2 linked regions of the Styela clava genome follow. The protein of the gene in region 1 purifies or fractionates together with the protein of each later gene. This does not show direct contact. Links are inferred from orthologs where the notes say so. Each region holds a gene or a part of one and is shown on either strand. Other genes may lie near its edges. The genes, in order: cullin-9-like and DNA-(apurinic or apyrimidinic site) endonuclease 2-like.

Region 1 (11,887 bases):
CACAGTTATATCGTCTGTTGTTTGTTTGTTATTCCATCCCATCACTTCACACAATTCATAAATCAAATCACTTATAGCCATTGTAACTTCAAATTTGCGATTGCCAAACAAAGCAACATTTGGATTTGCTGCAGGAATTTCTTGAAAATAAATAATTTATGTGATATTTTTACAACAGTGCCTATTGCAGGAATTTATTAGACAATTGAAAAAAATTTGTTAGTACAGAGCTTTGAAACCTTTAAAATTCAAGACACAATTACTTCCTGTAATACAAATTATACCGCATTGAAAAAACATTTTTATTTTATCAATAATAAATTATATCTAAGGAAATTTTCATACCATATGCAAATTTACCTTGTTTTGTACACATAAACAGTCATTACATCTTCATTTATCTGGTCATACTTCTCTATTTTGGAGTTAAATTCAACAATATCATTTCAAGTAAAATTTTAAACTCAGAAATATATGACGTAATTTTTTTGGAAATGCACTTAATTAATTTGTGACGCACAAGTGCACAGGAAACAATGAGCTAGGCCTAGTACATTTATTATTTTTCAATAAATGTGAATTAGTTTTAATAAATCCACAAATAAGTTTGGTGATATTAAATTATCTACGGTAATTAAATTTTTTAGCTTCGTTTTCAATCACATGCAGATATAATAAATTGGACACATAATATATTTTCTAAATTTCCATATGTGGGTTGCAATGAGAGTTAGTACATTAGAAGAAACAGGCCTCTTGAAGTAACAACTAATTTAGTTATAAGTTATATTTGTTTTTTCCTTGTTATAACACAACTCAAAAATGAAGCAAAAATGCCAACTGAAGGATTCTGTGTTTTGTGTGTAACTGAAAAAAATCAAGGAAATCAGCGAAGGTAAAAACCACATGAAATCAGTGATTTGTTCGGACTTGGATATGAAAACACTGTAAATCAACTTCTATATAATATATAGAAATAGCAATAGAGTTAAAGTTGAGACTCCTATAATGTACTGAAATATCTAACTGTGATTACATTAATCAGTACTGTTTCAAGTCAACACAATCTAAATCAGCAATTTCTAACAGAGTTTTTTAAAACAAAAATCCCCAGTTACACAACAATGCAACTTCCTCATAACTGATATAAAGGGAACTTCCCAAACATTGACGTGGTATATTATTACCAATCACTTCTTGCTAATATAAATAAACCAGGGAACCTGGACCGCATGCATGCATACACTCAGCGCTGGGCATTTCGAATAGGTTAAGACAAAAATTTCAAACTGCCATGCCATCCCTCATTTTTATAAAGAAGGCATATTTTCAATTTCATGATACAATTCTGACATATAACTCTTTTTTTTCTAGTGAGTTATTGATGAAACATATTTCTTATTGTGTGTGAACGCTCAGCAAACTGTCTGAGTGATGAATTTATTTATGAATTTTCAGTATTTTATGTGCCTGGAGGGCCCAATACAATAAAAAGCATATAAAATTGAATATAATCCAAGTAATCGAGATTCGATTCAATTCGAAAAAATATTCGATTCGATCCTGATATCGATAGGTATTCAAAAATGCCCAGCCCTACATATATTGTGATACAAAGCAATAGATCAGTTACAAAATTTTAAATTTCTACAATTACCTTTTGTGAAACTTTTCTCTTCTGAACCAGTCATCAGCTGCATGAATTGGGAATCCATATCTAACAACGATGTTACTTTCAAATAACACTTCATCAGTTTGAATAATGATTTCCCAGGTACCTACAAATAAAACCAAATTTTGACTATGGACGTCGAAAGAATGTAAATTTGAATAAATAATTTAACGAAGGCCAAACAAACCTGAGGAAGTTGCATGAAGTCGAGAGCTACAGCATGAGCTTCTTCACCTGATGATGTTTCAGCAAACATTTCCATTACTGTATTCCGATTTTCAAAATCAGCATCATCATCGCTGCTTGACATCTGTCCATGTCTATCTTGAATCAATGAAAGTAGCACATACGCTCTACTACCTATAGAAAAAAAAATTGTCAGAAATGGTTATCAAAAATGTAATATACCACTCCAGATAATCCAGTGATTTATAATATCAGCGTGCGGTTAGCAATCAAAAAATTGACTTGTTGAGATGACCTGAATGAACTATATAACTACCGGTAACTGTTTTTGTTTCAGCAATTCTCAGATGATTAGGATAGGACTTGCATATTTATTCAGGAGGAGAGCAAAGCAGACAAAACAGCTTGATCATATGGCGGTTACCAGTTCATGTCGGGTGTGGTATTAGTTAGATACTTACCTGTTTCACATGCATGGACTTGATGGTGGAGGAACTGACCAGAGCTTACGTGAACCACCCTATGGCGACGATCCCACGAACCCAGGCAGGGAAAAAACAAGCGTATTACTAACGCTCAACACAATGCGCCACATGGCCGAACCCTAACTCAGAAAAGTTTGGGTTTCCCAAATTATCCTACCTCCATCATGTGAAGCCAATGCACGAAGCATTTTCCCAGCATGTCTCTTTGTTTCAACTTCTTTAGACCACAATAATTCCAATATCAAGTCCAGAGCACCGGTCTGTCTGAAGACGCTAGCTAAAGATCCAAGACTGGCATATGTACTCAACACCTTGAATTAAAAATATCAGTAAAAAAACTGCAACGTGCATAGATAAGACTTCGTCATAAAAGTTTAGCATGCTTCAGAGTGTTCAGACTTTTCATCAAATGCTGATCAGAAGATCTTTATCAAATATTCCTATCAAATACTAAATTTACATTTCAATGTCCGTTGCTAGTTCAAAATTTATTTATTTTGTTGGGAAACATGTAATCAATGTATTTGTAAAAAACGATACGCTTTCTCATGTCTGTCGTGTAAATATTCATAGAGCTTTTTAGAAGCTCAGAAGTGAAGCACTTAATAATAAACATAAACGTGAATATTCGAAATTCACCAAAAAGCAAGTATAACATAAAGACATAATATCGTAAAAAATAAAAAGCCAAAAAAGAAGCAGAATCTAATAACAGCAAATTAAAAAGTAATACCTTGAGAGTATAAGAAATATTTTTAATGGGTTTATGTTCCTCATTTTCAGATTTTTTCATTTGTCTTCTGGCTCTGATAACAAGTTTTTGAACATCTGAATTGAATAAGAGTGCTGATTATTTATTTGTATACTCACAACAAAGTCTATGGTTTTGATTGAGTCATTGTTCACAATATTATTAAAACTCATCAATAACAAGGATACACCTACAAAAGCACTTCAATCAGTGCAAACATTCATATTCAACTATTAGTGGGTTACTGGGCAACTTATGAGTAATTTCCAGTTTGTGAGAAGCGTAATAAACAACTTCATTGTGTCAAATTCACAATTCAATAAGCAAAGGTAGAAGGAAATAAATGATTAATACATAATAGTTCCTTATAAATGTTAATAAGTGTAGTGTATATATAGTGAAATAAAATTACTATTTTTCTAATCAATAACATAATCTATACCCAAGAATGGCATAAACCAAACAACTATTCCAAATACACTATAAAATAAAACAATTTTTTGAACATGGAATATCTCATATATTCTGATTTGGGTCATGTACAATAAAGAAATCAACACAAATTATTTAAATTCATTTTCTGCAATATAGTAAACTGAAGTACTGATTAAAAAACGTCCACATCTATTGTAATCAGGGTACAATACTACTTTGCGATTGCAAATTTTGATTCCAAATATTTTGGCTTATTACTCAAACCTCAACTGTTAAAGTTAATTAAAAAATCAGAGACAAAAATTTTCAATAAGACCCTACCATCACGCATATCTTCAAAATCTTCTGAATCAGTATCAGTAGCTGTAACTTTATCATCAGTTTGATCTTCAGTACCAACATCAGATGAAGATGTCTTGTTTGTTAAATTACTCAAACCAGTGAATCCTGAACCAAGCAGTTTACTACAGCATACCTCAACCTGGATTAGTAAAAATTATAATTCATCATTTTTAATCCCATAAAGGTGAATTAAATAGAAGTATTATCAACCAAATATTTATTAATATATTCAAAAATACTTTTAAACATTTTTGAAAAAAATTCATAAACAAATAGCAGCGAAATAGAAAATTATATACTTTTGAGTAAACTGCAACCAATTCTATTTTAAATTCTAATTTACTGAAAATTCAAACATTTATTTGAAGACTTAAATAATCGAAGGTAAGCACAAATAAAATCATACCCTTATATTCATACTAGTTATTAAATTCAATGGCACATTTAAAAAAACTACTGGTACATTCTAGGTTACAAATTGCATGTTAAAACACCATAGCCTACTTCTTCCTGTGTCATCCATATCAAAATATTCTTGTCATTTTTGCCATCAGATGATGACAAACCATCAGAATGATTGACTGAACTATTATTTTGCGAGACAAAGCACCATTTTACCTATAAAAAGATTTAAATCAATTAAATCATTAAGTTTACTCATACTGTTGAAAAGTTCAATAGAATCAATAGCCCTGTCAAGCCAGATTCCAAGAATGGCCCCCATATTATTAAAAGACATCAATTATAACAGTGTGTAAACCCTTCCTTTACGAGACAGTTTGGGCCTCCATATCGGTACAAATCGGCACTGTGCAATAAACTAAAATAAAGCGCAGTTTAAAAATGTCACCATTGGATTCCTTGAAAAAAAGTAATCCAATATATCGAAGGAAAAAAAATTTACCGTAGCATTCGAAAGCTTTCAGGAAAAAAAAACGCAATTTTGGTCATGTGACGGCTGACGCATTCAAATTATTATTGAGACAAGCATGGTGCAATCTAACGCATCTGCCGCCAGACGCCCTCGTTCTACAGACAAATCGAGTGTTTGTTTTATTGAACTCGTTGTCGGGACATCTTGGAATCGAAGAACTCTGCCCTACTGGAATATGATCATAAAATTGAACTTTGTTAAAAAAAATAATAAAAAATAACATTCAAAATTTTGTCCCTGATTAATTATTCAACAATAGCTGAACTCTTTATACCTTAATTATTTAAAATATCTAATACATATATACACTAACCAAGTATTCTACATGTTGTAGAGATGCGCCATTCCTTTGTCTCAATATTTCTTTCGGCTCTAAAACTTGATTCCTACCAACTTGTAATGAATCCTTCATGATAGCAGGATTGTAAGAATCAATCAATGTAGAACACCAGGCCCATCAGACATTATGCATTAGAAATATATTCAACTAGTATACTTTGTTTATGATTCAGAAAAAAAATTCATACAGAATAAATCACAATATATACTTCCTATACAATATACACTTCTGGGATGGTCTTACTACTTACTGAATACAGCGCGAAACAGCGCAAAGAGCGCAAAACAGCGCGAAACAGCGCAAAACAGAGGGAAACGGCGCAAAACAGTGTGGAAACAGCGCAAAACAGAGGGAAACAGTGTGAAGCAGAAAAAAATTTTGCGATGAGTTCGGGGCACCTTGTTTTGGGTTGGACTACCACGGCAGCAAATTAAAAACACAAACCAACGTATGTAGCCAGTAATGCTGTAATGGCAGGTCTGCCCCTGCTGGTGACACATTTTGGGTACCATAATTTAAAACATTTTCCATATGGATATGGTTGGCTTTAGGGTTAGAGTTAGGTAAAAAGGGACCTCCGGAAGTATGTGCACCAAGATGGCGCACAACCTGAAAATAGTATGTGTGTGTGTGTAGCGGATTAAGATTGTGCGACATATTGCTGCACATACTTCTGGAGCACCAAAAAGGTAGATAAAATTTTGCATGATAACCTATAATCCGGTACATAACCTTGTAAATATACCGGAAATAGCGCCATAAAACCATGGCGAGAGGTGCCGTGGTTCTTTCGTGGCAGGAGGTGGTAATGACTGCGTCTCCTGTTTTGCGCTGTTTCCCTCTGTTTTGCGCTGGTTTCCTTCTGTTTCGCGCTATTTTGCGCTGTTTCGCGCTATTTTGCGCTCTTCAGCTCTTTGCGGTGTTTCGCGCTGTATTCAGTAAGTAGTAAGACCCCTTCTGGGATTGTTATATTTCATACAGTCATATGGGTCACAGTTTTATAGGAACCAATGGTTTCGCTCGATTTTGTTCAACTACTCGACAAAAATGTTAAGAAGTTTTACAAATATGTCATTACATAAACATTAATGCATCCATTGAATATCTATCGTACCGGTACTAACTTTATTCATTTTATAGTTCATCAATATTATCTAATCACAATTTATTTCGTAGTTCTGGAGTTATTCCAAATTTAAAGTAGTCTAAGTTATCATAATGAAGTATTGAAAAGATGTTAAAAGCAACTACGATACGGTACCATAGTCCCAGACTGGATTCCATGGCAGGTGCACGCCCGAGGGCGCTAGCGCTCTGCAAAAATGCACGCAAGCGAAATCAATTTTGCACGCCGAAAATTTGCAATTGCTCACCAATGTAAATCGGTTTAAATGGTTTTAAAATCAATAATCCTGTAATATAAATATGCCAAAATATTATAACTCCACAATTGTCGACAAATACCAGCTTGCAAGATTTGGTCTGATCGAAATATTGCGAAGCAAAAAGACCATGGACCTTTCCCCAACCTTTGACCCGCGAAAAATTCCTCTCATTGTTACGTCCTTTTTTGCATCTTGCTGATTGGCCAATGTCACGAAGTAAACAAGGAAGTCGATGCTCGGGGAAAGGTCCATATCGTGTTGAATGATAGGAAATAGGAATCCCGTGAGAATAGTTATGGACGAAAACACCGCCTCCGCACCAATGGCCAAGTACGGCTCTGATTCAGCGTATTTTTTATACAATAATTTTACACGAATGTACTGAACAGTACCGGTATCTAAAGTTGCTCAAACACTCCCAAAATTAGTGACAAAGTATGAAAATAATGTTTGGGGTCAAAGGTCAAACGTCCATTTTGCTCTAATTTGACGTATTTTTTATCCATTAATTCTACGTAAAAACACTACCAAAATTAATGACAAAGTATGTCCATTTTGCTCTGGTTCAACGTATTTTTTATCCAATAATTTTACGCGGATGTACTGAACAGTACCGGTATCCAAAGTCGCACAAACACTCTCAAAATTAGCGACAAACTGTAGAAATAATGTTTGGGGTCATAGGTCAAACGTCCATTTTTTCTCTGATTCAACGTATTTTTTATCCGATACCGGTAATTTTACGCGGATGTATTGAGAGGTATCTGATGTCAAAGTCAGTTGCACGCGAGTGCAGTTGTTTTGCACGTCGTGAGCTATAATTGCAGGCCAGGAATTCTTATTTGCACGCGGGAATTTCTGATTGCACGCCCGATTTCTCGTTCAAAAAGGCCATGAAATCCAGACTGGCCATAGTCTACTGTCTTCAGATTCATTAATATCTAAAGTTTGTTTTATGATATTAGGCTATATAGACTATTGTCTGAATGTTGACTTCTGGACAACAAGACTCTTGTTTGTCAGTTGGTGGAAATAATTTTTTCTCTTCTGCCTTTGATTAGTGCCTAACCATCGATAACGGTACCGGTACGGTACCTTAACACTGTAACATCTTACAGTCTTATATCTGTATATGGTCTAACATCCCTCTGTTCCTGGGCCTATAAATATAATTTAATTGAGAGTGCGAGATTCAGAGATTAGGTACGGTACCGTAAATGATTGCAGACGAATGTCTGAATGTGCAACAACACCCAGACACCAGAATTTTGTACTACGGCACAAAACCTGTCGCCGTGACGTCCACTAATAGCACACATTCAGGTAGTTACCGGTATAACATGGCCTTCACATACCGGTGTGCCACTATCAGACTATGTTCCTACTAAAATGATTATGTTTTCCATAAAATAAATACGTCCATACCAAAATGGCCATCTCTCTATTAAAATGCACATTATGCACACTAATGCTATTTTATGTCAATACTAACAAAAGGCTGTGGCGCCCAGTAGTGGTACTTGGACATTTTAGTAGCGACATAAGTGATTTAGTGGTGACATAGTCATTTTAGTTAGGACATTAGTTAGTTATATACCGGTATATCAATAGCCATTATACACTACCACCACATTCAGAAAACAAACAACGAAAGAGTCGTACATTCGCATTCACGACCAATACGTGCGCGTGCGTCATGTAATGGATTTAAATTTGGCAAAAAATAAAATTTTGTACTAAAAAAAGGTGTATATATCATAATTTATAACCGTTGGTTGGATTAAAACATTTAAGAACGGATTCTCTTTTGCATCGAACTCACTAACAACAGGTACATTCATTACAGAAAACCACGCCAATTTTACAGCCCCTCAAATGAACGTCCCTGCGAATAACTTTTGTATTTCGTATACATTTTTTTTTATTGTTGCAATGCTTGTTTTTTGGTTGACGAAACGATAAATCCGTCTCACTCTGGTGCTGTTTCTACGCAATCTACATTATCGTCGTGACACGCTTTACATGAATCCAATACGTAACTTTCGTAACGGCAAATAGGCAATGGACAAAAATATTGAATCCATATTGGTACCGCAATACAGTTGACAAAGTGTATATTGACCATCTGAGTTAAAAAAACACGTTTATCTTATAATCTGATGAAGTGATCTTGATTGATTGATTGAATCTAATATATGTTACAATTTTTTATTCTAAGGAATTTCAATAACGGCACATTATCATGACCTATGGCCGACAATAATTGGATATTACGGTACACCTCTGCTGCTTTATGTTTATATTCGTATCTGTAACACAGACGTTGTGGAACCCAGTAAAAATGTCATTTTCTAAAAAATTATCATTTCGTAAGAATATTGTCAATTCGGCTAAGCGCCGTAGGGTTGAAAGTGCAGTTTCAAGTATTTTGTGGCGTCTACAGCTGCCGCAAAACCATGGCGGGATTTCCAAACCACGGCCACTAAGACCAAACCCACGGCGACTGACTTTTTAGCTGCCACAAACCAATAGCGAGCTGCCGTGGTTACGGCAGCAAATCGAATACCACCAATTTTACTGCCGTAACCACGGCAGGTCGGCTGTAATAGCAGGGCTGCCCCTAATCTGCTGATGGTGATAAATATTTGGTGAGTTGGAATGTTTTTGTTATGGATACAGTTTGGATGGATTTGGGGTTAGGGTTAGAGTTTAAGTAGATATAATTTCGCATGATAAACTAAAATATGGTACATAAATTTGTAAATATACCGGTAATAGCGCCATAAAACCATGGCAGGAGACGGCGTGGTACGTTCGTGGCAGGAGCTGCCATGAAGTGGTAAGAACTGCGCCTCTAGGGTTGAGTTTATGACACTTGAATTGAAACTAGTTGAAATTTGCTGGAAATCTGGCCATTGTTAGTTATAAAGAATTTTAATGATAGTTTACTATACTTCAGTTTCAAAAAAATTATAAAATATTTTAAAAATAATGATGCGATTACGATCACAGAATGCAAGGATATCAAAAAAGACTGGAAGTAAGAGAAAGCAAAAATCAGTTAAGGCAACAACAAGCAAATCACAGAAATTGAATGATAAGATAACGGGAGATTTTTCACAAAATAAATTGTTCGATAATAGTATATCTACATTATACATAGGTGCTCAAACATCCATTTCAGGTGGTCTTTGGAAGGCTGCAAAAGAAGCTTCACAGATAGGAGCTAAAGCATTTGCTTTATTTTTACGCAATCAACGTCAGTGGAAGATCAAACCTCTAGACGCAAATGAAGTTGAGCGTTTCAAATTAGCTTGTATCGAATATGGCTACTCTCCTGAACATATCATTCCTCATGGATCTTATCTTATGAATTGTGGATCTCCCAGTGACGAAATACGCCAAAAGAGCCATGATTTGTTGGTAGAAGAGCTGAAGAGAACAGAGGAATTGGATCTTCTATTTTTTAATTTTCATCCTGGATCAACACTGGGCAAAATTTCTGTCCAGACTTGCATATCTTATATAGCAGATGCTATTAACAAAGCACATAAATGTACAAAGTATTCTGTGATTTTACTGGAGAACATGTGTTGCCAAGGCAACACAATTGGTGGTAACTTGAAAGAACTAAGTGATATTATCTCATTAGTTAATGACAAATCTAGGATAGGTGTTTGCATTGATACATGCCATGCGCATGCCACTGGTTATGATCTTTCAAAACAAGAAGGTTATAATAATTTGATGAATGATTTGGAAAACATAATAGGAATTAGGTATGTCAAAGCCTTACATTTAAATGATTCAAAAGGATTGTGTGGTTGTCATAGTGACAGACATGAGAATATTGGTCGGGGCACAATTGGTTTAGATGGTTTTCGTAGAATAATAAATGATTCCAGATTTGCTAATGTTCCTATGATAATAGAAACACCAATGACTTTATCTGATGCCGAAGAAATTAAACTTTTATATTCATTGAAAATATGATCTGACAATTCATACTTTAATTATGAACATACCGTATTGTGCGAGTTTACTTCTTCTATCGCTGTATCGTAGGAGATTATTTAACATTATGGAATTTGTATTTCAATTCTCAAAAATAAAAATATATCTGTAATTCTGTAACCTCAATATATCATATATTTAAACTTGTATTTAAAATGAAAAAGTTACAAAGAAAATAAATGGATTGTCTCTATTCACTGGCAAGCTCTTTCAATACCAATAATTGAAAAATTCAGTCTCTTTTTTCATACGAGATTTAATGTATGCACATATAAGCCAATTGTTTTCTAGCACAAAATCTCACTCAATTTTAAATTTCTCTACCTTTCGTGTGTTGAAATATACCATGTCAAGAAGAAGCTCTCGTCTTGCAGAGAAACAACAACCAAGTTATAATGAGAAAATAAACAATGACGCTGGTGAGGCATGTAAGAATGGGCCATCACCCAGAAAGAAAAAATTAATCAAAAAAGAATCGTATTCAAAACCTAAGATTGTGAAAAAGGTCTCGGAAAAGGAGAAATCTGAATTTTTTAACAGTTCGAATCAAATTGATACTGAAGAAACTATCAAAACAGAAAGCAAAGGCAAAGAATCTAAATACAGTTCCAACATGATTATTGGTTGTCATACATCAATATCAGGTGGATTATGGAAAGCACCAGAAGAGGCAGAAAAATTTGGAGCTAGAGCTTTTGGTTTATTCACACACAATCAACAGCAATGGAAAATGAAGCCGTTAGTAACTGCACATGCAAAGCGTTTTCGAGAGACCTGTCAAAAATATGGATATGCTCCTAATCATATTGTACCACATGGGTCATATTTGATGAATTGTGGGTCTGCCAAAGATGATGTGAGGCAAAAAAGCTGGGGAATGCTTGTTGAAGAACTAAAAAGATGTGAGGAACTTGGATTGGTTTATTTTAATTTCCATCCCGGCTCAACCCTTGGAAAAATTTCAGTAGAAACTTGCTTATCTTATATTGCAGAGGCAATCAACAAAGCTAACTAAATTTGTAATAACTTTACTAGAAAATATGAGTTGCCAAGGAAACACAGTGGGTGGCAAATTTCAGGAACTGAGGGATATTATCGAAATGATCGAAAACAAAGATAGAGTGGGAGTCTGTATCGACACTTGCCATGCTCATGCAGCTGGTTATGATCTATCTACAGACGAGGGTTATAATATTTTTACAGAAGGGTTGGAGACAATAATTGGCTTACAATATGTCAAAGCTTTTCATCTTAATGATTCCAAAGGGCCATCTGGTTGTCATAAAGATCGGCATGAAAATATTGGAAAGGGAACAATTGGGTTAAAAGGATTTGAAAGAGTT
Region 2 (11,444 bases), on another chromosome or scaffold:
ATAATAGGCACGAATAAAAAAAATTGAACGGTATAGCCTCATAGGCATGGAACTACTTGCACATACCAAATTAAACTAAATTGAAAACTTGTTTCGTTAGCCACATAATTTTCCTCTGTGGGACGCACTTGGCCCGTGGGACGCAAGTTGCACAATACTTCTGTATGTCAGTAAGATTGACCATGGAGTACTTTTACATCCCATGTTTTGAACTTGATTGTTATGGCAACTTTCCTGAATTTTCATCCAATGTGTTAGTTTTTTATACATTGTCGAAGAACCCGAATTATCCTATTTGTTTCAAAATTCTTCTCTATAACTCTCTCTGTGTTCATAATTCTAGTCTAAACTCGTTGCCTGTCCAGCAATATATTAGGCAAATATTGCAAAGAAAAAAGCATAATGTGTTTGAATGGGCCATTTTCTAGTTAACTAGTAATTCAACTAGCAGTGAGTGAGTGACTAAATTCCCAAATTACTAAAACTATTCTAGGTGATATAAAGAAAGCCTTACCTTCTGCTCAGCAGCAGGGGGAGCTGGAGGGGGTTCGTCATTGGGTAATGGAGCAGGTGGTGATGGAGGAGGAGGTTCTGATGGCTCTGGTGGTTTGTCTGCAATTCCCATCATCATCTAAAAATACAAGTTGATTAGGTAATTAGATTAATTACTAGTCATTACAATGGCATATTGTATTAATTAATACTTGTATGCCAATGGAATACAAAAATACAGAAAAAAAATACAGCTGGTAATTCTCTCAAAATGTGAAACAAAAACATAGTTAAGCACAAAATATACATAAAATGGCACTGATTTAAGTATACAATGAATTTTCCATGAGTGGTGAGATGAGCTGCCAATACGGTCAAGCTTTTTATTAACAAGAAATGCAAAAACATGACGATAAATTGATCAGCAGAGCATCAAAATTTCTCTATACGGGTATGTCAAAATTCACATTGCAATTTTGACATAAAGAACCTCCCTCTCTACAATACAGACAAATTTAGCACAAAAACAGAATATTTATAATATCATTAGTTTTGTTTTTATTCGAATCAAATCTTTGAAACATCTACCATAAGCAACTCACTTGTGGGTTTTGCATTCCAAAATGTCCCATCATAGGATGAGAATACATTTGTTGTTGATGCATCATATGCTGTTGATTCCAATCAAAGGATGGAGCTTGTTGATTGTGCATCATCATTGTATGGGGATTCATTTGTTGGTGGTGACTATACTGTTGCTGCTGATTCTGACCCATATGATTGTGCCTCATTTGCCCTTGGACATCAGCAACTTTTGCTTGTCGTATTTGGTTCCACCCCATCGGCATCATATTGCTATATTTATATTAATACGCTTGCAATATTATCCAGTGTTTTATAGATTTGTTTTAAAGCATCCTTAGCAAACACATTCAAAGTTTATAATGATAGTCCGTCCGTTAGTCCAAAAATCAATACAACAAATTGATTATGGATATAGTAACCACTGCAAATTGAAGTATGAAAATATATTATTAAATTGGCTGAAATAGAAATACGAGAGCTGAACTACTTTTAAATTGCATCAAATTATATCCATAAGCATAAATCAGCAATTTAGTAGGCCTAGTAAAATGAAAATTTTCCATAATCATGACCAGCTAAACACAACTATTATTAAAGGAGGAATGGCATAGTTTATTACAAGAATACGTCATTGCGCTGTTTAAAAACAACTATTATACCGAAAAAGATGTTAACATGATAAGATTTGCATAAAATTTAAGTAGTTAGTGTGATTCCATCGAAATTTGAAATATCAAATTTATTGTGAGCTGAAAAATTTGGGTATAAACATGACTTTGAAACCAATACTGTGAGGGCAGCAGCGGTTAAATAGCCTACTCAATAACTACCATAAATCAAGTTTGCATTTAAAATTTATTCTTTCTCTCAGTAAAGAATACTGATATCTAAAAAGGCTTAAAAAAGTTTATTCCTTAATAAGAAATATTCAACTTGAAAATGGATATGTCCGAAAAATGAACATTTATCAAGGTTGGTACAAGATAATCAATGAAAAGTTTCAGTCAGGTCTTCCATTGAAAGAATGAACATCTTGCTTCAGGATTAGTTTTATGTCCATCAGGACGTCGACAACAATAAAATTGCTTTCCTAAGTTTGGACCTTCTTTTTTAACTGTTCTAAGAAAACAAGGTTCGTTGTGACCTTTACATAATGGAGGAGGTTCAGGGCCTTTCAGTACTGATTTCCAAAAGTTTGAAACTTCACTTGAGCTTTTTGTCGTGAAAGATTTATCAATTTTTGGCATGAATTCGAGTTTTTCTTGAGAAAGAGACAAAGTATTCGCTGATTTTTTAGTGTTTATTTCCATATTTACTTTAGGTTTTGAAGATTTATTTTTGGTAAAAAAATGTAGTTTCGTCTGTTTGCTTACAGTATTACTGCTGTTTTCATGTTTCCGCTTTTTGGAATTTGAAACAGATGATTTAGAAAGTTTCTGCGTAGAGGTCTTTAGTGAAGAAGATACTACTGTCTTTACAGGGCTTTGACAAAGCTGCTCATCATCATATTTTGATTTTGCTTTTTGAGAAAAAAAGGATGACAAAGTCTGCTGTCGGCCTCCAAATTCTGTCATATATTTAGTACAACATGGCGGACATTTGGATGCAGGTATCATAGTTACATTGATATCTGCTTTGACTGGACAATGATCAGATCCATGAATCTCCGGTAAAATCTCACAATTTTTAACATAATTTATATGAAACTCAGAATTCGCTAAAATATAATCAATTCTCGTGCCGTAGTTCGTTTCTCGACAAGATTTCATTGTGTTCCAACAAGTGAATGCATTTTTTCGATGTGGGAAAAAGTATCTGAAGGTATCGATGAATTTTGCTCTATTGTTGTTACAAATATCTATATTTTCCGAATCCTGTTTTAAATTTTGTTGTGTAGATTCCTCCGTATTTGATTCAGTTCCATCAGTACTAGAATCTTTTTCGCATGAAACATTTTTTATATTTTCAAATCCTTCGCAGAATTCTGTCTGGATAGAGTTTGAATTTAAATGTATTAGAGCAGAGTAGTCACCTTTGTTATATAGTATCCCATCCATCCATTCTCGGCATGGATTATCGTAAAACAATTCTGGATCATTAGGATCACAATGATCAATCCTTCTATGTGATGTATTGATATCCCCACAAATAATAACATGATTTCCCGAATTCAATATTGCGTTTGCTCGAGTTTCTAACATTTTGTAAAAATCCATTTTGAAAATTTGTCGCTCTGGTTTTTCTGGATCTGCCCTCGGACAATAGACATTTATAACAGTTAACTTTTCATTTCTTTTCTTCGCTGAATCATAAAATTCATGCTGAGTAATTATTGTTCTCCCTTCCTTATCAACTTCATACAATCTCTCCTGCGAGAATTTTGAACTTAAATCCCCATAATGCATAATGGCTCCATTTCCTGCAGACTTTTCTGCAAAATCAAATAATCCTTCTTGTGCTAGAAATGGTGTAGTATTTGCTTTACAATATGTGGCCACGCCAGAATAACCTTGGCGTGTTTGTGAAAAGCTGAAGTATGAAGAATATCCATCAACTAATGCTAAATCGCTCTCAATTTGATCTTTTGTTATTTTAGTTTCTTGAAAGCATATAATGTCAGCGTCAAGCCCATCAAGAAATGGTTTAATTGGTCCTTTCATTGATCTGAGGCCATTAATATTCCAAGTTACAAGCTTCATATTTTAAAACTAAAAAAATAACATTTACAAATGTAATGGCAGGAGAAGATATTATCTGTCAGTCTATACTTGTTCGATGAAGTTCATCAATCACAGAAACACTACTGCACTATGTTAATTTCACATTTTCAGTATTTTACCTATAAATTTCAATTTACCTTGGAACCAAATAGTTGAGTAACAGTTAATTAGACAATGAATAGTCACGAAAATAGAACAATTAGTTTCAAGGTTATTAATGCAGTACTGGCTTAAATTAGAACAAATAGCTGAAGAGTGAAATATCGTAATGTCTGCCATATATTCTCACCCTATGTGTGACATCGGACACTGCATATGCAGTTTTACATAACCGCAAGCCGTATGCTAGGAGTTGATACAAATCCAATATTTTTCTTCTTTTCTCTGCACACTAATATAATAGCCTAGTACTGTAGTAGTTAAACTAAAACAGTAAAAGGTTTGGCGGAGTTTCAAACTCCATCTTCAGGTCTTTCACCTGAATGCAATCAGTGTCTGTGTTATGACAATAAAAAATATTCAGTCCTAGTAAAACATACGTTCAGACGTTAGTCTCTACATACTGACATACATCGATGGCTGCTTTTCAAGAACCTTGTTTCCGTAGAAATGCAATTTAGTACAGCAGTACCGGTAGTCTACTAAAATAAAATTGATGGATTAGAGTACCGGTACCGGTACACCATATAAACAATTCAGTAATCTCAGAATCTGGTAATTTTATAAGTATAAGTATAATTTACCGTACCTAATTTTACCTTTCACCGATTGCAGCATTACACACAAGAATTAAACAAACAAATCGGCGCAAATATAAAGAGTAAGAAGCACGCACAATATTCTAATAAATTATTCCAAAATTTCGACAGGAATGTCTCTACTGAATGTGCCACATCAACTCCTACAACAAGCGAAACGTAAAATAATATCGATTTTAAATGAGTTACCCAAGCCAGCAAGCCCGCACTCAAGCTGCGGTGAACCAACTATTATATTCACTTCATAAACGTTATTCCATAAAAATACTTGGTTGCTCTGATAATATATATACCCTAATAGCTGATAATCCCACGCAAATGCAACAGCAAGCTCAGTCACCTCAATATGGCCTAACAACTATCGATGGCCTAACAAAAACAGTGTTGGATCACTTGGATGGCGAGTGTGGCGTCACACGAGTGTGATGCTGTGAGCTAGCACCATGCGAATGTGATCCGGCATTCTGACAATGTTAGGCGCAAGTTAAGAAGTCCTACGCGTCCACAAACTACTAAATTACATCAGGCAGAAGAAGGCCTCAATTTTCTCAAAGGCCTCGAAAATGTTTGCCGCAACATCAATTTCCCCGTTTATTTCTGCAAAAATGGGACGGACTAAAAGTAGGCCTTTATGGCCTTAGTAGTAGGCCTTAATACCTTTTAAAAACATAATTAATTAGTTAAAAATGGTCAAATTAAATGTTGAAAACGCAAATTGCAACGGGCAAACTCAATAGCAATATTTAAAACGCAGTATTAAAGGCAGTCGCACGCGCTTGGTCACCACATATGCTAGGCACATATTCAGGCACTTCGAAAAATAAATAAAATGGCATATTCACTAATAAAAGACGGAGAAATAAACATATTAACCACACTGATTAGCCTGAGTAAATATCTAAGAGATGCACTTGAGTCTAGTACTGGAATTTAGAAATAATAAATTGATACCGGTAGGCACTTATTTAGGCACTCCGAAAAAAAAGGTGAAATGGACGTAGTAACTCCTAGAAAGATAATGAATTAGTTCAAAATATTTAAATTAAATGTTGAACGCAAAAATTGCAACAGTTAAATCCCAATACTGTAATGATTTTAAAACGTAGTACTAAAGGGAGACGCACGCGCTCTGTCACCACATATGCTAGGCACATATTTAGGCACTTCGAAAAATAAAGAAAATGGCAATTATCACTAATAAAAGACAGGGAAATAAAAATATTACCCACACTGATTAGCCTGGGTAAATATCCAATAGATGCACTTGAGTCTAGTACTGGAATTTAGAAATAATAAATTGATACCGGTAGGCACTTATTTAGGCACTCCGAAAAAAAAAGGTGAAATGGACGTAGTAACTCCTAGAAAGATAATGAATTAGTTCAAAATATTTAAATTAAATGTTGAACGCGAAAATTGCAACAGTTAAACCCAATAACGATTTTTAAAACGTAGTATTGAAGGGAGACGCACGCGCTCTGTCACCACACATGCTAGGCACATATTTAGACACTTCGATATATAAAGAAAATGGTAATTATCATGAATAAAAATACAGAAAATGAAAATATTAGTCAAAATAATTAGCCTATTTGAATATCCGATGAATGCACTTGAGTCTAGTAGTGATATTTGAGAATAATAAATTGTTACCGGTAGGCACTTTTTAGTCACTTATTTAGACACTTCTAAAAATGCGTAAAATGGGCGTAATAACTTTTAAATAGATAATGAATTGGTTTAAAATATTTAAATTAAAAAATTAATATGCAAATTGCAACAAGTAAACCCAATGATATCGGTTTTTATATTTTGCATATTTGAAAATATCGTAATTCTTTACTTTGTAATTTTGTTTTTGATAAATTAAAATATAAGACATCCCCCGAAAAAAAGCCCTAGTGGTAATTTTAGGAAGAAATTTGAAATAGGACACTGTCTTAATTTCGCGGAAACACGGTAAAAGGTGTCTACCGGTAACAATTTATTATTCTCAAATACCACTACTAGACTCAAGTGCATCTATTGGATATTCACCCAGTCCCAGGCTAATCATTTTGACTAATATTTTTATTTTCTTTTTTTTATTGGTGATTATTCCCATTTTTTTTTTCGATGTGCCTAAATATGTGCCTAGCATATGTGGTGACAGAGCGCGTGCGTCTCCCTTTAGTACTAAGTTTTAAAAATCATTATTGGGTTTAACTGTTGCAATTTTTGCGTTCAACATTTAATTTAAATATTTTGAACTAATTCATTATCATTCTAGGAGTTACTACGTCCATTTCACCCTTTTTTCGAAGTGCCCACCGGTAACAATTTATTATTCCTAAATTCCAGTACGAGACTCAAGTGCATCTATTGGATATTTGTCCAGGCTAATCAGTGTGGGTAATATTTTTATTTCTCTGTCTTCTATTGGTGATAATTCCGATTTTCTTCTTTTTTCGAATTGCCTAAATATGTGCCTAGCATATGTGGTGACCGAGCGCGTGTGACTCCTTTTAAAACTACGTTTTAAATATTGTTATTCGGTTCACATATTGCAATTTGCGTGTTCAATATTTAATTTGACAATTTTCAACTAATTCATTATCATTTTAAAAGTTATTACGCCCATTTCACCTTTTTTTCGATGTGCCTAAATAAGTGCCTACCGGTAACAATTTATTATTTCTAAATTCCAGTACTAGACTCAAGTGCATCTATTGGATATTTACCCAGGCTAATCAGTGTGGGTAATATTTCCATTTCTCTGTCTTTTATTAGTGATAATTGCCATTTTCTTCTTTTTTCGAAGTGCCCAAATATGTGCCTAGCATACGTGGTGACAGAGCGCGTGCGTCTCCCTTTAATACTACGTTTTTAAAATCGTTATTGGATTTAACTGTTGCAATTTTCGCGTTCAACATTTAATTTAAATATTTTGAACTAATTCATTACCTTTTTAGGAGTTACTACGTCCATTTCACCTTTTTTCCGAGTGCCTAAATAAGTGCCTAACGGTAACAATTTATTATTTCTAAATTCCAGTACTAGACTCAAGTGCATCTATTGGATATTTACCCAGGCTAATCAGTGTGGGTAATATGTTTATGTCTCTGTCTTTTATTAGTGATAACTGCCATTTTCTTTATTTTTCGAAGTGCCTAAATATGTGCCTAGCTTATGTGGTGACCAAGCGCGTGCGACTGCCTTTAATACTACGTTTTAAATATTGTTATTGAGTTTGCCCGTTGCAATTTGCGTTTTCAACATTTAATTTGACCATTTTTAACTAATTAATTATGTTTTTAAAAGGTATTACGCCCTTTTTACTTTTTTTCCAAAGTGCCTAAATAAGTGCCTAAAAAAGTGTCTAATTTGCAAGTGCCTACTTTTAGTCCGTCCCTGCAAAAATGTCCAATCAGCAATAAGTCTACGATAGGGTTACCATATCTGAAAAGACAAAATCCCTGACAAAATATTAATGAGCCACATTGACCGATTTTGCAACCAAAACACTTATATTATGGTATAAATTCACGATGTATCCAAAGGCACAAGCTGTCTCCGCTTTCTCGTGAGAATAGAATAAATACGGAACAAAACGAAAGGATCATAATTGTTGCTATTTTTAGCGGTGTGGCTCAACGGGCTAAGCGTTAGGAATACGCTCGCCACCGCACCTCTAATTACTCTGCGTGGGTTCGCAGGTTCGAATCCCATGCAGGGACGGTTATGTGCGAGAGGATTGCTGGACTCCTCGCCGTCGTTGGGTGGTTCACGTAACCGCTGGTCGGTTACGGCTTCCTCCACCACCAAGTCCATGCTTCCGAAAACAAACAATACAGTAAAACTAATCCCATACCCGACTTGGAATGATAACCGGACGAGAGGCCGTGGTTCGCCATATGGATAAGCCGTCTCATCGGCTTTCCTCTCCCCCGGGATAAATATGTAAATCCTATCCTATCCTATCCACTAGTGACTAAAACTAAACCCTAGCATGGAATAAAGTAGGCCTACAGGTGAAGGTAGTTATAAATAAATAAAATAAATAAGTTTATTTCGACTCCATAATCAGCAAAAAGGCTATAAAATGGTTCAACCAAAATACCGATTACAGATGGAAATTCAGGTTATATGTGACATTATTACAATTATCTGAATGCGACGAAATATCTGAAAATTTGAGGATTTGTAGCAGGGATTCACTGTAAACCCCTTGACACTTAAGAATTTTTTGAAATTGCTCCCTTACGCAAGTTTGACCACTAAAATCCCGGACATGTCAAGGAAAAATATGGCGTATGGCAACCCTAGTCTACGATGACGCAACAACGGAAATTGACGCAGTCGCTCAGTCACCTCTTTCACTAAGACAGATATCCAAATAAACATGGTTGCAAACAATCGACCCGTGTTCGCGATTTTGTGTGCAATTTGTCAGTTTTCAATTGTGTTTCAAAAAATTAGTCGTACATCAAATACTTAAATTATCATTAGTTGCAATTATCAAAAATTAGTCCCGAATAAGCTGCAATAGACGAGACTAAAATGAGCTATCTGCAAGAGGCACGTGGTGACGTGGATGAATTCTTTGTCGATACTCTACCACCTTAACTAATTTTAGAATATATTTCCAGAGATCTCAAATTCTGTTTTCCTTTCAACTTTTTATCAAGGCAATGGAAAGAAATGAAAAATGCATTATTTAATTGCATACGTACCGGTATTTCAAATTGCCACGTTTTTATTTCGACTCACTGCCTTGTTGAAATGAAAAACATACAAAATATTGACAAAGAAGATAATTCTGCTAAATAACCGTTGATCTGGAGAACAAAAATGGAACACCATTATTATAACAGTTCTTTAAAAATATGTTGAACATCTTGGCGAATCATTTGGATTATGAACCGATACAGGTTTACAAATCTCCCCCTTATTATTGAGTGAGCACATGCTTTGTAAGATAGGATTTACGTATTTATCCCGTAGACAGGAAAGTCGATAAGACGGCTTAATCATATGACGTTCCACGTAGGGTTGGGATTTCGGGACCAGTTTTTAAACCCCAACCTTTATTTAATATAGCGGTACACTATTTAGCTATTTAAGTATTCGCGGCACATTCATCACAAAAAGGAACATTTTCCACCCATAAAGAATGCGATAGTCGAACGCGAACAAATGGTTAATAGTTAACGATATTAGAACAGTTTTCTTACATTGTAAACGAGAGGTCTTCGGAACACCTCACATTATTGTAAAAGTTGCGCGGCCGCACGAATAATACGTGGTCTTCAAAGTAACCGCTGATCACGTGCTTCGGTTTTGCTCGCCCTTCCCCGTTCCACGTTACGCACTCATTATTATCGCATGTATTCTTACTTTTTCACAACCTAAGTCATTTTTGTTACAATTCAATATGTTTTTCCCATTGCCAAAATCATTCAATAGTGTTACTGTCGGCAGTTGCGATAGAAATGAAAGTGGCAAACAAACTGTATTTCATTACAGCAATTAATTATTATCGCTAAAAACTCTAAATAGGTTCAAAGTAGTTATAAACAATTTTCACAGCTGGACGTATCTTTTCACGTTATGAAGTTCGCGCAAGACCCGAGCATAATTTGATGGCAAAGATCATAGCATTTACTAAGTCGAGACGCTTATTCGACTCTTCAGACCACATAAGAAAGATAACCGTTTTTGTGTTCGAGATATGGAATGATCGTCAATTTCCCCACGCTTTCGTGAAGTAGGCTAGTGCAATTTACTAAATTCATGAAGGTTTTATTAAGTTTCATTGCATCAGTGTTTGGACTGCCACGTGTTTCGCCAGATGACTGGCGTGTTTACTGATCGCAAGGGTGGGCAAAATAGTATATTTTCATCGAATCGAATGATTTTAACGAATTGTCGAATATCGGGTTAAATTCGGGATTTTATTCCGATTTTTAACTTTTGGGTCGGCTTTGATCTTTCTTGTCACCGTTTGTAAATTAACTGTCCCAATTTTGAGCTACAAAATACAATCATTTCTGACGCCGGAATGCGGATATTTATGAAGACGATAGTTGATCTTCTTGATTTTACTTTTCAAAAGTGTGGCTGTTTTATTTCCGTATTAAATATTGAATAAAAACCCTGCAAAGCTCGAATTATGATTAAATAAGTCGTCAATAATGGCAATTCTACTAGTCAAGTAATAATTCCTTGGTACAATTTGAGAAAAATTTCGCACAATAATTCCACTTCCACTCAAACCTATAATTTGTTAGAATATCTAATCTTGATTTCTAATCTTGATAACAAAGCCCTAAAATCCCGGGATTTTTAGGAAATAATTGCGGGATCGGGATAGAAAAAAACAGTCTAAATCCCGGGATTTCGGGATCGCGATTTCCCGGAATCCCAACCCTAGTTCCACGGCCTCGTTTGTTTACCAGTCCATGTCCGTTATGGGGATTAGTTAGTTAATTGTTTTCCGATGCATGAACTTGATGTTGGAGGAAGTCGTGACGGATCAGCCGTTACGTAAACCAACCTATGGCGGCGAGTCCAGCAATTGGATTCGAACCTGCGAACCCATGCAGAGTAATCAGAGGTGCGGCGGCGATGGCATTCCTAGCGGTTAGCACAGGGGTGGGCAACTTCTCTAGTCGGCGGGCCAAATGTGGGAAAATGAAGTACTCGGCGGGCCGGATGGTTACAAAAAATACTTCGACATCCAATCTTTATTAAATGCACATGGTGACGCTCTGGAATATTATACTGTCTATCTTGATAGATTCTGGTTTAAACAAAGAAGTATTCATAATCTTTTATTCGGATTAATCAAGGAAAGCATGCAGAGCGGGAAAAGCACGCATGCTGATTTCCAATTCTCTGAATCGTGCGA

What was found.
Region 2: the proteins of cullin-9-like (region 1) and DNA-(apurinic or apyrimidinic site) endonuclease 2-like purify together in Homo sapiens (affinity purification with mass spectrometry; 3 studies listed by BioGRID and IntAct, counting the BioPlex papers as one, with this or other methods). This does not show direct contact. The link is inferred for Styela clava from reciprocal best matches to the Homo sapiens genes CUL9 and APEX2.

What each region holds. Positions count from the first base shown.
Region 1 is NC_135253.1:14,292,744-14,304,630, forward strand, and holds the start of cullin-9-like, read right to left. Parts: upstream 5,298-11,887; 5' UTR 5,218-5,297; coding exon 5,119-5,217; intron 4,490-5,118; coding exon 4,376-4,489; intron 4,011-4,375; coding exon 3,851-4,010; intron 3,172-3,850; coding exon 3,077-3,171; intron 2,655-3,076; coding exon 2,501-2,654; intron 2,033-2,500; coding exon 1,860-2,032; intron 1,779-1,859; coding exon 1,658-1,778; intron 141-1,657; coding exon 1-140. Other genes in the region: putative endonuclease 4, read left to right, coding at 9,522-10,523; apurinic-apyrimidinic endonuclease-like, read left to right, coding at 11,585-11,887. UniProt on the Homo sapiens protein: Core component of a Cul9-RING ubiquitin-protein ligase complex composed of CUL9 and RBX1. The CUL9-RBX1 complex mediates ubiquitination and subsequent degradation of BIRC5 and is required to maintain microtubule dynamics and genome integrity.
Region 2 is NC_135255.1:15,517,012-15,528,455, reverse strand, and holds DNA-(apurinic or apyrimidinic site) endonuclease 2-like, read right to left. Parts: upstream 4,395-11,444; 5' UTR 4,087-4,394; intron 3,786-4,086; 5' UTR 3,777-3,785; coding exon 2,082-3,776; 3' UTR 1,499-2,081; downstream 1-1,498. Other genes in the region: uncharacterized protein LOC120330646, read right to left, coding at 515-631, 1,095-1,343. UniProt on the Homo sapiens protein: Functions as a weak apurinic/apyrimidinic (AP) endodeoxyribonuclease in the DNA base excision repair (BER) pathway of DNA lesions induced by oxidative and alkylating agents.